Pelodiscus sinensis: one gene and its partner. The protein of the gene in region 1 interacts with the protein of each later gene in a pairwise test. Links are inferred from orthologs where the notes say so. Each region holds a gene or a part of one and is shown on either strand. Other genes may lie near its edges. The genes, in order: IFT25 and IFT27.

Evidence for each region.
Region 2: the proteins of IFT25 (region 1) and IFT27 interact in binary tests that used the Homo sapiens proteins (3 or more experiments, as listed by UniProt). The two-hybrid records come from large-scale screens. The link is inferred for Pelodiscus sinensis from reciprocal best matches to the Homo sapiens genes IFT25 and IFT27.

Annotation. Positions count from the first base shown.
Region 1 is NC_134719.1:11,241,226-11,249,409, reverse strand, and holds the start of IFT25 (intraflagellar transport protein 25 homolog), read left to right. Parts: upstream 1-5,084; 5' UTR 5,085-5,180; intron 5,181-5,393; exon of another isoform or gene 5,394-5,616; intron 5,617-8,184. Other genes in the region: LRRC42 (leucine-rich repeat-containing protein 42), read right to left, coding at 1-66, 1,129-1,260, 3,845-4,317. UniProt on the Homo sapiens protein: Component of the IFT complex B required for sonic hedgehog/SHH signaling.
Region 2 is NC_134711.1:93,194,656-93,202,624, forward strand, and holds the start of IFT27 (intraflagellar transport protein 27 homolog), read left to right. Parts: upstream 1-4,878; 5' UTR 4,879-5,003; coding exon 5,004-5,037; intron 5,038-7,969. UniProt on the Homo sapiens protein: Small GTPase-like component of the intraflagellar transport (IFT) complex B that promotes the exit of the BBSome complex from cilia via its interaction with ARL6. Not involved in entry of the BBSome complex into cilium. Prevents aggregation of GTP-free ARL6.

The DNA of each region.
Region 1 (8,184 bases):
GGTGCTGTCATTCTGCGAAGACCTGCATCTGATAAACAATTATCCTTCAGGAGGAGCCGAGTTACACTAGGATAAAGAATGTAAAGTTAGTTTGTAAAGGAATAATGTAAAGTTTTTAGGATAATTGTTAGCATTTCATGTGCAAAGTCTAGAATTTTTTCCTAATACCTGCTTAGTCTATCACTCCTTTACTCCTTTAAAAGGACCAATAAAACAAGAGGCCTTTTTGGTATTTTCCCTGTTTTCTCTGAAGTCTCCGCTGAAGCAATTACCTAACAAACTTCCCAAAGTTTCACTGACACAGGCAACACTGGAACATACCACCCTGCTAATTCAGGCACTAAGATTCTTTGTTACTTGAACTACTTGGGCTCACCAATTTCAACCCCTTTCAAAATCGGAAAAGGAAAATCTTGCTTGACATACAGGAAAAGGCATAATTGGTAGGAGATATAAGGAAGTATTGCAAACAAGAATAAATGAAATCCCCAAAAGTTTATAGATATACTTCCACGGCATCCTTTTAAAACACAATCTTGAATCAAACAAATGGAAGTCTTATGTAGTAGTAACAGTTATTAATTAATAAACACAATTAACCTAATAAAGTTTCACAATTTTCCATCTTTTAGATCTCTAGGAGCTCAAAAAGATGGCTATATAAAGATTTTAGAAAACAAATACTAGACAAAAGATGTAAGTTATTAATATCTCATCCTGACATTAATGCAATTAAAATTATTATTTTGATAAAGTTCTCCCCCAAAAGTTAATAAGCAAATTTAATAGGGAAAGTTTACAGCAGTTGGAAATTAAGTTTTGCAATAATGACTGTATATTATAAACAGAAAATGAAAAATGTAGAAAACAGTTAGCTAGAACTTTTATTTCAACTTTCATAATTGTAGAACTTGTCTAAAGACTCAGCACATGGTTGGTATTTTGCAATTTGGGTTATAAACTCTGATGCTTGCTTTTTCTGCCTTAAGAAGTGAGTTTATAGACAACTGAAAACCCCCAATAAAAGTGCTTGTTTCCTATGAAACTTTAAAGAGACAGTGTGATTCTGTGAATTTCTTAGTGATGGAAAAAAATGCTGGTCAATTACACATATCAATATATTGGTACCTAGACAGAGCTTCTTTGGTGATATGTTCTAGCAATTCATGGTTATCTCCAAGTTTACAACAGGAAAGATCCAAGCAGGTCAGCTCCCTGAAAGACTTAATTTCTTCAAGTTTTTCAGAAATAACCAGATATCTGTAAAGAGCAGAAAGCTATGAACATTTAAATGCACTAAAAGTACAGTCATAGAAGGTGTCTACTTCTCCTTGGCATTATGCCAGCTGCCATGTGAAAAATGCCTAGAATGAGTAAGCTCTCATCATTATCTATCCAGGCTGCAGTCCATTTGGAACACATGCTCAGATTCTTACTCAATGTCTTATATCAACATTTTAAAGACATTTGAAAAGGACAAATCAAATTTCAGAACAGAAGAGGGATGATGGGGGGAGGTAAATGCTCTAATCCCACTGACAGAGACCAGAAACTTCAGGATCTCTACCAAGCATTTATAAACCTCAATTACCCACCTGGAGAAATAAAAAAACAAATTGAAAGAGCCAGACAAATACCTAGAAACCATCTACTTCAAGACAGACCCAAGAAAACCAACAATAGAACACCACTTGTCATCACCTACAGCCCCCAACTTAAACCTGTCCAACACATTATCAATAAACTTCAACCTATCCTGGATCAGGATACTAAACTCCGAGAGGCTCCTATAGACAACCACCTAACCTCAAGATGATTCTTACCAACAACCACAGGACATACCACACTAATACCAACCCTGGAACCTTCCCTTGCAACAAACCCTGTTGCCAGCTTTGTCCACATATTCATTCTGCTGATACCATTATTGGACTAGCCAATTGAGTTATAAGATCAAGAACACGTATTCCTGCTCATCCAGAAATATAATTTATGCTATCGTGTGCCGAAAGTGTCCGTCTGCTATGTACATTGGACAAATGTCTCAGACACTTCGCCAAAGAATCAATGCCCACAAAACAGATATTAGACAGGATCACAAAGAAAGAACAGTTTCTTGCCATTTCAACCAGAAAGGGCATTGTCTCAACGACTCGATTACCTGCATCCTGCTTCAAAGACCTTTTAACACCAGACTTGAAAGAGAATCCTCTGAACTGTCATTCATGCTTAAATTCGACACTTTAAGTCCAGGTCTAAACAAAGACATGAATTATCTTACCCATTACAAAGATAGCTTCCCCAATTATCACCTCTAATATCATTAGCTCACAGACATTTACCTCCCACCCTCATCCCATTCTGTTCTGAAATTTGATTTGTCCTTTTCATATGTGTTCATTTTTTTAAATTGTATCCTTTGGTATATATGGTTGTGCCAATTTTCTTTCACTATTTTATCTGAGGAAGTGGGTCTGGCCCACGAAAGCTCATCACCTAATAAACCATCTTGTTAGTCTTTAAAGTGCTACATAGTCCTGTTTTTTGTTTCAGCTACACCAGACTAACACGGCTACATTTCTATCATTATATCAACATTGTGACTCTGATCTTAACTCAAAAATTACTTGCTACATAACCAGTGACTTTAACATGCAAAGACAGCTATTACTACCAGATCACAAGACATATCAGTCCAAATCAAACAGTGCAACTGATGTTTCATGGCCAAAACAAAAGCCTCGACTTGAGAAATAAAGAGGACAAAAAGGTTTTCCATAGGAAGCCATCTTTCATTCATGGAAAATGCAGTCCACGAGTAAACTGGCATGCAATTTGATCATTCTGAGAATGAAGTGACAACTGGTACGCCTGATGTTTTTTTTAGTAAAAACTTTTCTATATTACTCATGCCAGTTTTGGAATCCAAGAATGATGTCCCTATATGCTTTGATTTATACTGGTTCATATTTAAAAGACTCAAAAGAATATAAACTGTGTGAATGTAAACTACAAATCCCAATAAAATATTATCCTAATTTAAGCCTTGTAAGGAGAAACTTTTCTGGTTGTGTTAGAACTTGATCAAAGAGGGGAAGACACAGAATGTCCTTGGTCAAGGTGTGTTCAATATGAAGGGCATGCAACACATATAGACATAAACAGTAATTAATAAAATGTAATACGAGGTCTTCTGACTTCAAAACCTGTAATAACATTACACAGCTATGCTCTTCTCCCCCCTGCCTTTGGGTACTTGTATCCTTCATATGAGAAATGTGATAGTAGACATGGAATGTCCCAGTGGGACTGTGTGCTAGAAAATTTTGCTGGCTATACAAGTCAAAGTAAATGCCGAAATCGTTTAATTAGTTCAGACAAAATTTAGTTATTAACACTCCTATGAGGAAGGTAAGTAAGACAAGCTTGTCTCTCTCACCAACAGAAAATGCAATAAAAGATACTGCCTCACCCATCATCTTGTCTTGAGTATCCTGGGACTGACATGGCTACAACTACAGTGCAGACAACAAGGTAGGCATGTTGTGAAGATTATGTTTCAAAGCACCATACAAGAGCCAAGTGTTAGCATGCTACAAATAAAGCTGCAGGTTTTATCCTTCAATTCAGATTACAGAATGTGTTCATGTGGATTTAGAGGATTAACTGGCAGATATTAAGTTCTGCATTACAGATGCAAAAATTAAACATGTGCTATCAAAAACAATACTTCATGGAGTAAGCAATACTCCAATAAGCAATCATCCAAATCAATAACATGTTTATATTTAATTAAAAAATAAATATTAACAAACATAAGTTTCATGTTACTGAATGCACTTACCTATTCTGTAAACATAATGAACAAAGCACCAGACTTCCATAAGCCTCAGTAAATTTTTGTAATGCTCTGAGTCCTATAACTGGTTCTGTGAACTTTTGCCTTGCTTCTGCAGCAGAAAAAAGCTTTTCAGCAATCTGCTCTGGAAAGCCAATCAATGAATCAATATGATCAACATTGTCAGAAATGTAATCCAACACTAGGCCGAAGAGAGACTTGGCTGAGTATCGGAGATTCCCCTCCTTAGTATAAGTAAAGATGAAATGATCTGTTCTCTCTTTCCTTGCACTGTCATCTTCTCTGTTCATACAAAGCTCCACAGAGAATCCTTTAGAAAATAGTCTAAACCGCTTGGGTTTTGGAATAGCATTATTTACAGTGCCAGAATCCTGATCTACCATATACAGGTGCCCATTTTCACGCACATATATTGGGCCTGTATCCAAAAGGCTTTCTGACTTGAGGCAGTAAGACATTCCCCTTTAGTTTCTGCAAAAACAAAATGAGAAATGAATAAAGAATTAAAGCAAATGATATCATTTTGGAAATGTTTCAATCCAAGTTAATTTCCTTTGGCACCCTAGGCAGCCCATTATAATGTATCCATATGATACAGTGAAAGCATGGCTGCCTATAATACACTCTTGGGCTGCCAGCAACAACAAAATATGGGAACTAGAACTCATTCCTTCAGAATGACAGGTCTTTTCCACATACTACTGAGGATCAAGAAGGGGCCTCCTGTAACATGGTGTAGATCTGACTGCATTTAGCAGAGCACAGTGCTTGCTACACCTTACACACTACTCAGTACATTACAACTATTTCATTCAAATAATCGTGTACATTGCACATGGCCAGAGCCTTGGGCAGATACAAAATGTGTATCCCCATCTGCAAAAATGAGTTGCAGATATCCACATGGACATCTCCAGATGCGGATGCTGATGGATGTAAAGCAGATATCTGCACATCTGCAGGGTTCAAGGTACACATTTTGCATCTGCATTTGTATCTGCAAAAATGAGCCGTGGATATTCCCATCCATGATGTAAAGCCGATATCCGCAGATGTGCAGGGGCCTGCTCATTAACTTAGGGCTTTCGGTTAAAAAACAAAAAAAGGAAGCGTGCCACAGAAGTTTGTCCTGTGTTGTGCGCCCTCTCCTAGCTCAAGGCTGCACGCCCGGCTGAGGGGCTTTCCAGCACGCCGGCTCGGCCTGCACAAGGGGTCCCTGTCTGCACCACCCCCTGGCGGCATGCTTCGCCCCTGCCCCCTTCGGCAGCACTGCGGCAAGACCTGGCTTTGTCTGGCGCTGTGGCAGGCGCAGCCCCGCAGGGTGGGCGGCCGTTCGCAGGGATGCCCCGGTCTCGGCCCAGGGGGGGGGGGGGGCTCCTGCCTTGGACCTTTCCCCCGCAGGGCGCTTGGTGCCGGGGCCCGGCCGCAGAGGGCTAGCTGGGGGTGGCGGGGCCGCCCCTTTCCCTGGCGCCCGGCCAGCCCCGTCGCTCCGAGCACGGGGCGCGGGGAAAGTTGCCCCGAGCCCCCGACCTACCTGCTCCGGGCACGGGCCGTCCCCGGAGCCCCCGCCTGGCGCGGCCGCTCGCAGGGGCCGGGGCTCGCGCCGCAGGCCGGTCCCGCCCCGGGGGCCACAAAGGGGAGAGCGGGGGCGCGCCGGGGAGCTGAGCGACGGGAGCGCGCGTGCGCGGGCGGCCGGGCGGAGAAAGCGGCGGGGAGACCCCGGGGGGAGCGCGCGGCGTCTCCGCCCGAGACTGGAGGCGAGTCCCTGAGCCAGGGGCGGGGACCCAGGGGAGGCGGGGGCTGATCGGACAATAGAGGGTGCTGGGCGCATGGGGCCATGGGAAGGGGAAGGTGCCGAGGGGAGGTGGGGCAGGGAGCAGGCTCTGGGACATGGGAAGGGGAAGGTGCTGAGGGGAGGTGGGGCAGGGAGCAGGCTCTGGGGACATGGGAAGGGGAAGGTGCTGAGGGGAGGTGGGGCAGGGAGCAGGCTCTGGGGACATGGGAAGGGGAAGGTGCCGAGGGGAGGTGGGGCAGGGAGCAGGCTCTGGGGCATGGGAAGGTGCCGAGGGGAGGTGGGGCAGGGAGCAGGCTCTGGGGACATGGGAAGGTGCCGAGGGGAGGTGGGGCAGGGAGCAGGCTCTGGGGCCATGGGAAGGGGAAGGTGCCGAGGGGATGTGGGGCAGGGAGCAGGCTCTGGGACATGGGAAGGGGAAGGTGCCGAGGGGAGGTGGGGCAGGGAGCAGGCTCTGGGACATGGGAAGGGGAAGGTGCTGAGGGGAGGTGGGGCAGGGAGCAGGCTCGGGGACATGGGAAGGGGAAGGTGCTGAGGGGATGTGGGGCAGGGAGCAGGCTCGGGGACATGGGAAGGGGAAGGTGCTGAGGGGAGGTGGGGCAGGGAGCAGGCTCTGGGACATGGGAAGGGGAAGGTGCTGAGGGGAGGTGGGGCAGGGAGCAGGCTCTGGGGACATGGGAAGGGGAAGGTGCTGAGGTGATGTGGGGCAGGGAGCAGGCTCTGGGGACATGGGAAGGGGAAGGTGCCGAGGGGAGGTGGGGCAGGGAGCAGGCTCTGGGGACATGGGAAGGGGAAGGTGCTGAGGTGATGTGGGGCAGGGAGCAGGCTCTGGGACATGGGAAGGGGAAGGTGCCGAGGGGAGGTGGGGCAGGGAGCAGGCTCTGGGGACATGGGAAGGTGCTGAGGGGAGGTGGGGCAGGGAGCAGGCTCTGGGGACATGGGAAGGGGAAGGTGCTGAGGGGAGGTGGGGCAGGGAGCAGGCTCTGGGGACATGGGAAGGGGAAGGTGCCGAGGGGAGGTGGGGCAGGGAGCAGGCTCTGGGGCATGGGAAGGTGCCGAGGGGAGGTGGGGCAGGGAGCAGGCTCTGGGGACATGGGAAGGTGCCGAGGGGAGGTGGGGCAGGGAGCAGGCTCTGGGGCCATGGGAAGGGGAAGGTGCCGAGGGGATGTGGGGCAGGGAGCAGGCTCTGGGACATGGGAAGGGGAAGGTGCCGAGGGGAGGTGGGGCAGGGAGCAGGCTCTGGGACATGGGAAGGGGAAGGTGCTGAGGGGAGGTGGGGCAGGGAGCAGGCTCGGGGACATGGGAAGGGGAAGGTGCTGAGGGGATGTGGGGCAGGGAGCAGGCTCGGGGACATGGGAAGGGGAAGGTGCTGAGGGGAGGTGGGGCAGGGAGCAGGCTCTGGGACATGGGAAGGGGAAGGTGCTGAGGGGAGGTGGGGCAGGGAGCAGGCTCTGGGGACATGGGAAGGGGAAGGTGCTGAGGTGATGTGGGGCAGGGAGCAGGCTCTGGGGACATGGGAAGGGGAAGGTGCCGAGGGGAGGTGGGGCAGGGAGCAGGCTCTGGGGACATGGGAAGGGGAAGGTGCTGAGGGGAGGTGGGGCAGGGAGCAGGCTCTGGGGACATGGGAAGGGGAAGGTGCTGAGGTGATGTGGGGCAGGGAGCAGGCTCTGGGGACATGGGAAGGGGAAGGTGCCGAGGGGAGGTGGGGCAGGGAGCAGGCTCGGGGACATGGGAAGGGGAAGGTGCTGAGGGGAGGTGGGGCAGGGAGGAGGCTCTGGGACATGGGAAGGGGAAGGTGCTGAGGGGATGTGGGGCAGGGAGCAGGCTCTGGGGACATGGGAAGGGGAAGGTGCCGAGGGGATGTGGGGCAGGGAGCAGGCTCGGGGACATGGGAAGGGGAAGGTGCTGAGGGGAGGTGGGGCAGGGAGCAGGCTCTGGGGACATGGGAAGGGGAAGGTGCCGAGGGGAGGTGGGGCAGGGAGCAGGCTCGGGGACATGGGAAGGGGAAGGTGCCGAGGGGATGTGGGGCAGGGAGCAGGCTCTGGGGCCATGGGAAGGGGAAGGTGCTGAGGGGAGGTGGGGCAGGGAGCAGGCTCGGGGACATGGGAAGGGGAAGGTGCTGAGGGGATGTGGGGCAGGGAGCAGGCTCTGGGGCCATGGGAAGGGGAAGGTGCTGAGGGGAGGTGGGGCAGGGAGCAGGCTCGGGGACATGGGAAGGGGAAGGTGCCGAGGGGAGGTGGGGCAGGGAGCAGGCTCTGGGGACATGGGAAGGGGAAGGTGCCGAGGGGAGGTGGGGCAGGGAGCAGGCTCTGGGGACATGGGAAGGGGAAGGTGCCGAGGGGAGGTGGGGCAGGGAGGAGGCTCTGAGGACATGGGAAGGGGAAGGTGCCGAGGGGATGTGGGGCAGGGAGCAGGCTCTGGGGACATGGGAAGGGGAAGGTGCTGAGGGGATGTGGGGCAGGGAGCAGGCTCTGGGGACATGGGAAGGGGAAGGTGCCGAGGGGAGGTGGGGCAGGGAGCAGGCTCTGGGGAC
Region 2 (7,969 bases), on another chromosome or scaffold:
CAGGATTCTCCTGCACAACTGTGACGTGCAGCAGCTAAGATCCAGAGAGACTGATTTTGCCTGGCCAACAGGGGAAGTCTGTCTTTATCAGGATTGGTGAGCATGGCACTGTGTGCGTAGCATGTGTATTCTGCTTGTTTGGGAATTGTCAATAAATAGAGGATAAGAATATTACTGTGTGAGGATCTTTCAGTGGCTAAAGAACCTGCAAAACCTGCAGGAAGTTATGCCCTGTGCCCTAGAAATTGGGTACAGGTGGGTCTGTAAATTAACAGGGTTGCACCTTGAGCCCTAGGAATGGGGTAAAGGTGTGTGTCCCTACAGTGTGGAAGAGATAGAGACATTTGTGTGGGTAACAGGGTAGGCTATAGCCTTAGGCCCTCTTATTTTTAGGCCCTAATATTTAGTCTTTCCTAATGTTTAGGCCCTACCACAGACTCTCTATTTCATATCAAGGCAACAGCAGAGCAACAGTGGCAGGAACATCAGAAATCTTTTGTCTTGTTAGATATTGCTTTGTACAAATTAATCCATTGACATTGTGAATTCAATTTATGGTGGTTGTGATTTTGTCTTCATGGGTTATGTAAGTGTTTATGGGCCTGAGCAATATTGAACTTTGAATACAGTAGGCCTAGACTGGACAATAGAAACCACGTTGAAAAAAAGGAGAATGGCAGAAACTGAAGGAGGCTAAAGAAAGATGGAAAGGTACTCCTCTCCTAACATTTTTTTTCTTCAGACCAAGGCTGGTGAGGAAGTCCAAATACCAGCCCAAGTTAACCTGCTGCACCTGATAAAAAGAATCCGCTTTCTGTGAGTTCTCTAGCTGCAGTCCTCCACTCCTCTGAGACTTTTCAGTGACAGTAATATATAATTATCATTCTCCAATGATCTAGGCAAGTGGGGCATGACATGTCAAGATCTCATTGCATATTAGACTGAGAAGAGTCCACAGAAATGCCAGAGTCTACGTGCTTTTTCACTGACAAAGTGAGGGTACATCAATCAGAATGATTATCTGACCAAATCAATGTTTAAAGATGTGAAGCCTAACACAACATTGGCAAGTGAGAATAGCTCATCTATGCACCTTCTAAGTGTATTGTTTTTATTGCCACCTGTTTTCAAATACCAAAATGTAAGGAATGTTCAGTGAAGGCTTCAATGATTGAAAAAATGTCACAAACACATTACCAGTCATGCAATGAGTGAGCTGCATACATTGTCAGTTAGCAGCTATCATACCCAAAAGAAAGTTAGTGGCAGAATTGAAACCCAAATGCAAAACCAGTTTTTGAAAGCTTGTGCTTATTGGAAGAATGTTCTCAGATGTGTAATTGAGACCATAGATTTTTTTCTTTGCCTTTGCATGGTTCAGATGAGATTGTTGGATCAAAACACAATGGTAATTACCTCAGCATTCTAGAGCTAATGGCTAAATTTGACCCTTTCTTAGCTCAGCATATTAATGAACACACAAACCACAGAAAAGGCCATATATCATACCTATCAAAGACTATTTGTGATGAATTCATTGGACTGTTGGCAAAGAAGACACTGTCAGTCACTGTAGATGAGCTCAAAGATATGGGATATTTTTCCATGTCCGTCAAGTCAACATCAGATCTGTCACATCTATATCAGCTATCATCTTGCATTATGTGCCACTCAGTGTCGCGAGAATCACAGGTCCGATAATGAATACCCAAGGGGGGAAGGACAGAACCAGGTGGACAGTTTTATGACAGTGATGAATTTATAGTATTATTCTGAGATTTTTTAATAGACCGTGTTAATAATGAATTTACAGTATTTATTATATTTATTCTATGGTTTCTAGTAAAACGTGTCAGAGATATAGGGATGGGAATGGCAAGGGGAATAGTCTCTAATCTTAAACTATCCAGCTACAGTAATTAAATAACAGTGATAACTACAAACTCTTATGTACTACCCAAAAACAACTACAACACTAAGCTTATACAACAAGAAAAAATCAAATCATACATACCAACTTACACAGCACACGGAACATTTCCCAGATATTGGTTCGGTTGCGAAGGCCTTGGTTACGCCCGAGAGTCGGGGGAGGTGGCTGGTCGGTTGATCAGGCTGGTAGCGCTTGGAAGTATACGAGAAGGCACACGCACGGTGGTACGTGTGTTGCGAAGACCTCCTAGAGCGAACTGTGTCATGGGTATTTATCCCCAAATCTGCACATCGCTTTCCCGTGCTTGCATATTACCATATATGGCCCAATGGTCACCAAGTGGGGGGTCTGTGTCCCAGGGGTTGGGCCGAAACTGTGCAGGTTTCATGTGACCAGGTAAGCCCCGCAGTTCTCATGCCAAGGTGACAGGTGGGAGAGTCTGAGGCTATTTTCCCCTTTTCACACCTTTCCTTTTTCTAAAGGCAATGGTATGCAGGAAGGGTGTGGCCGGTTTCTCTCAAGGAGTACTGCAGAACAAGAGCGGCCTGGCCAAACTTTTTTACTGGGGGGGGGGGGGCAGTTTCTTTTCTCTAATACTCAGCAGACCACTTGAGCATTTAGTGACTTTCATAAACATCACCTACTATGCAGGAGGGAAATTAGCCTTGTACCTACTTGATTTCCTCACCAAAAATGACATTAATATCAGCCTTTGTCATGGCCAAACCTATGACAATGCAAGTAATAGAAGTAGCAAATATTCAGGGATGCAGGCAAAGATTAAAAAAAGCGCAGTGCTTTGATTGATTATATACCACGTACTGTTTTCTCACTCAACCTTGTTGGCTGCCATGAATCGTTGTGTCAAAGCAGTTTTTCTTTCTTTCTCCAAGAATTGTACAGATTTCTCTCTGTTTCAACCAGTTGTGGGGGTGATTCTTAAAGATTCACTACCAAAGGGATATCCAGTGCCCAAATCATTCTCAGGGGCACAGTGAAGCACCAGTGCTAAAGCTGTGAATGCAGTTGTTCTGGGATACCCCAACATCCTTGAAACACTAGATAGCATCAAGGATGATCAAGCTAATAAAAAATCAGCAAGAAGAAAAGAAGCAAAGATTCTGAATGATGCAATATGCACTTTGGAAACTGGTATTTTGTGTGAGGTCTGGAATGATACACTTCATCCATTCAGCAGGTGCAATCTGAGCTTGCAAAGTGCTAGAATTGACCTTTCCACTGCTGTAAATCTAATGAGGAGTCTTGGAACTGCTGTTCAACGTATGTAAGATAGTTTTGATGAGTATGAAATTCAGGCGGCGGCTGAAAGAACTGCTAAAACATGAATATAAGTCAGCCAACCACAGTAAAAGTCAGAAAACATGATGATCCAAATGTCCACTCATTCTGTGACAAGGTGGTCTTCAGAGTTAATCCCTTCAGAGTTAATTACTGACACACACAAAAGTTCATTAAAACATCAAATCAAGGCTTGCAAAAAGATTGACAAAACCTTTAGTGTACTGACATTTTTCACCTAATATTTCAAGTTCTAAAATCAGTTGAAGTATCTGTCAGAGGTTCCCAGAAGATCTCCCAGTAGATTTTACTAAAAGAATTTCTTCAATTTGTTGAATGCACATCACTCTCAAATATAAAGATGACAAAAGCAAATCTATTTGGATGTACCATCACAGAATTCAATGAGATAGAATGTTTCCCAAAAGTTGAAACTGCATTATAGCTTTATTCGTCACTAAAGATTACTAACAGCAGTTGAGAACATTCCTTTTCTCTTTCAACAGGGGTTGAAATTGTCTTCTGATCTATGAGTATTTCAGTGCTTTGTCCCTCTTGAGCATCAAGAATGAAATCGTCAAGTCTTTTGAGTTATGATTATATCGTTCATGGCTTTGCCACAGTTAAAACTAGGGTAAAAATTTGGTTTCAAGAATTTAGTCATATGAGTTTATAAACTTGCTAATTTTACATAATGAATATGCAAATAAGTGCATACACGTCTGACTGCTTCACAGTTCCTTGTAATATGTAATTCACACTCAGGCCCCTCATAACCTTAATCGGGCCCTGGTTACCTAATGATGTGGGCTCTACTGTGCCCCCGCCACCTAACAGCTTGCAGGAGGAGGGGGCTGTCGCGGCAATAATGCACCGGGGCTGCAACACAGTCACACACGCAGCGCAGCCCAAGAGCCAGCTGAACAAGCCAAGGGACCAAGGGACGCACGCGCAGGCCCACGAGCAAACAGAACCGGGAGGGAGCGAGACGGTGGGAAAGTATCGTGCGCATGCGCAGAAAACTCCAGTTACGCTAACGTTTAGCGAACGCGCTTTGTGGAAGAGCCCATTATGTACCGAAGGGCTCAAGCCGTCACAGTTCTTTATCTCACCCCCGCTCTTTCCCCCAGAACTCTACCAGGACATGACCCCACCTATTGGTAAAACTTTCTGGTCCATCTTTTTTTTCCCTAACTCTCCCCATGGAATAATTCCGCCTAGAGATGGTACGGGCCACCGTGGTCTGTCCAATTAAAAACAGGGTCCTTGGAATGTCATTAGTTGCTGGGTAGAAACAGCATCAGGCGCACGCGCACTGACCCAGAATTGCAGCGTTGATGACTTCATCCCCGGCTTCAGCTCAGGCCGCTTAACCGCTCGCATTGGGCGGGGCCTTTGATTGGCAGACACGCGTACCAATAAGCAGTACATCCCTGAACCAATGGCCTCAGAGTATTCGAGGAGGCATCCGTCCCACAAGGCGGAGCCAAATGGAAAGGGGACTCAATAGCCACCCGAGCGGCCGGTGGGATGGGCAGCACCGCCAGCCAATCGCCTGTCGCAGAAGCGGGCGGCGCCAAGGAGGGCGGTGACTGGCTGAGGGGGCGGGGGGTTGCTAGGGCAGCACCAGGAGCGGGGCCAGGGCTGTGGAGCCTCCGATGTGGTCCGAGTTCGAATAGCCACCCCCCCCCCCCGCTCATCCCCTTCTAACCCACCTCCCCCACTGAGGCCCTAACCCCTCCCCTCGGGCAGGGCTCGCGGCAGCCGGACCATGGTGAAACTCGCCGCCAAGTGCATCCTGGCAGGTGAGCTCGTCCTCGCGCCTCGACTGCCCGCGCTGCGCCCCGCGCGCCTCTGGGCTCGCTCGCTGGGGCGGAAGAAGAGCGGCGCGAGCCCCAGCGACTCTGGCGCTGCAAACTACGCGGGGCTGGAGCCCCCGGGGCGCTGGGCGGGGCCTGACCCCCACGGATGGGCCAGCGGAGGGATTCAGTAATGCCCCCAAGGGGCCAGTGCTTTAAACATCCGCCCGCTGCCCTTTCCTGATCCCCCCCGGCGCCCTGCCCCCGCCACGCTGCTTCATTTTGTAGAGCGACCTTCATTCCAGAGGAATCCACTTTCTAATGTGCTAAGGGGGGGGCTTGATCCTTGCTGCACCCCAGACCCTGCCCACACCCTGTCCTCAAAGGTTCTGCCCTTGCTTTGCCCTTCCCACTTCTCCTGGTCCTGTTCTGCCCCCTTTCCCTGAGCACACACGGCTCTCATGCCTCCCCCTTCCAGTACTTCTTGCATGCCATGCGATAGCTGATCAGGATGGGCAGAAGGAGCTGGGAGATGGGGAAGGAGCTGATCAGGGGTCTGTCTATCAGCCCTGGAACACCCATAGAGTCGTCACCCATGCCTCACAGCAATAGTATTCTAGTGAATACAGATGTATAAAAAGCAAAGGGTAACAAACTAAGAGGTACAGATGAGGAAATATGTATCCAGATGAGCTAGGAAATATGATGCAAGCCAGTGAAAAAGATACAGGATCAAAGACCACTCTCTTCACAACAATGGAAAGATGATATGACAGGAAGGGTGAGAGAAACAGAATGAAGAGCCAAGCCCAGTTTCATGAAATAGACTGGCACATTCCCTTTTGTGCTGAAAGAAAAAGTATGTGTGAAATAAAGATGATTACAAACAACGAGGCGGGGGGAAGTATGGTGTTAGTCAAGTGTGAAAATAAGAGAAAGGCAGATGTGTCTGAGGAGAGGCTCTTCTTGCTCAAGAGAAGCACAAGATTACCTGAAAGAACCAGAGATAAAGCTGCAGGTTTGGCCAAGACACTGTTAAGGAGTTGTGAAGTATGTACACTTGAATGCCATCAAACAATAGTAGCAAGACATCAAATGTAAAGATAACTGAAAAGCATAGGTATAGTTCTACTTCTGTCTTTGGGAAGGAGACAGCTCCAATCAGGGCAACAGGACCATGCATGGAGGGCAAATTCTGTACCATCTGAGGTTTACATTGTGAAAGGCAGCAGGTAAAATGAAATATTCTTACTTCCCTGTTTGATTCAGTAAACAGGAAGGCTACGTCTAGACTGGCATGATTTTCCGGAAATGCTTTTAACGGAAAAGTTTTCCATTAAAAGCATTTTCAGAAAAGAGCGTCTAGATTGGCACGGACACTTTTCCGCAAAAGCGCTTACAGGTTTTGGCCATCTTGACCCAGTGAAGGCAGGTCTTGAACCCGCAACCCTGTCCTCCCCTGTGTGGCAAAGTGCTCAAAACTCAGAACACCTTAGAGCCCCAGATTGGAGATCTTACAAACAGGTCACAAACCAGTTTCACCGACCACTTCAGCTGCCAATCTGGCCAGCCAGAAGCCTCACTAGCAAAACCCCTCTGACACCCCAGCTCTTCCAGTGTCCTAATCATCCCCGGGCCTAACACACAGGTGAGGGGTTTTAGAACCCAATCTCATCTACCCTGAACAGGTTCTTCTGGTCCCAAGAAACCAGCCACAGTTCCCAGATCAAGTTACACTCTGGGTCTTACCGACAAGATTACGCGGAGCCAATCCTTTAGAATCTAAAATCTAAAGGTTTATTAAAAAAAGAAAGAAAAGCATGAGAGTAAGGTTGTTAAAGAAAATACATTACATGCATCGAATCACCCAGTTCTCAATACAGGCTCTTAGCAGAGGTGTTATAAACTGCTATCTTAAAAGTCTCTGGTGTACATCCTATGTCAGGACAGGTCCACAGTTCTTCTCAGCTTGTTGTTCCCTGCAAGGCTGCATCTGGGATCAGGAGCTGAACTCAAGACCAGCTGGAGGGTGCCACAAGGCATTTGTATACTGCCCCGGCATCTTCCTGGCCAGAGAAGGTCACATGGTCCAACGACCTATCCCTGTGTCCCATGCTGGCAGCCCTTCTGCCCTGGCTGGTTTACAGATATCAGTCACATTCCTGAGGTGTGTATTGGCACCTAGAGTTTCATTGTCTCCTTGCTAGTTAGCATAGCTAAGCATTCCTTCCCCATTGCTCAGCCACAGACAGAGAATTTTCCAGCATCCCTACAGAGTACATGTTTATAACTCCATATACAGATATAATACAAGTACACGAATAGCATATACAGAATCAGTAGAACATACGCTCTCATTTGACATCTCACATGGCCCCTTTGTACCAACTTTTGGGGCAAACACCCCCCTTGGGTGCAGCAGTGACCTGTCTGTAACGTGACATCCCCTATGCTTCCCCAAATTACACTGTGAAAGACACTAGATAAAACTAGAAAAGATTCTTACTTCCCTGTTTGATTCAGTAAGCACCAAAGGGGAAGAATCTTCATACTGAAGAGAGCCACAAAATAAAGGGGGGAATGCAATTAGGTGGGTAGAAGAAAGTCGTGTACCTACTCATCTGGAGGAGAGAGAGTGGATCACACTGGTGAGAGATGCACTGAGGTCAAGAATGAAAAAGAGAAAAAAAAATCTTCCGTTAGCAGAAAAACTATGTTAACTATGCAGTGGACAATGATTCCTTTGTTATCTCCAGGCACGATTTACAGTCAAGAGTATTGTTGTGTGAGCTAGTTGTTAAGAAAAAAGGGAAGATTAAAGATACGGCATTAGTTAGGCTGAAATTAATGTATTTAAAGAAGGTGCAAACAATATTTTGTTTTTAGAGAAATGGAGAAGGTGCAGGAGGGCAATGGAATTATTAACATTAGGAATAGT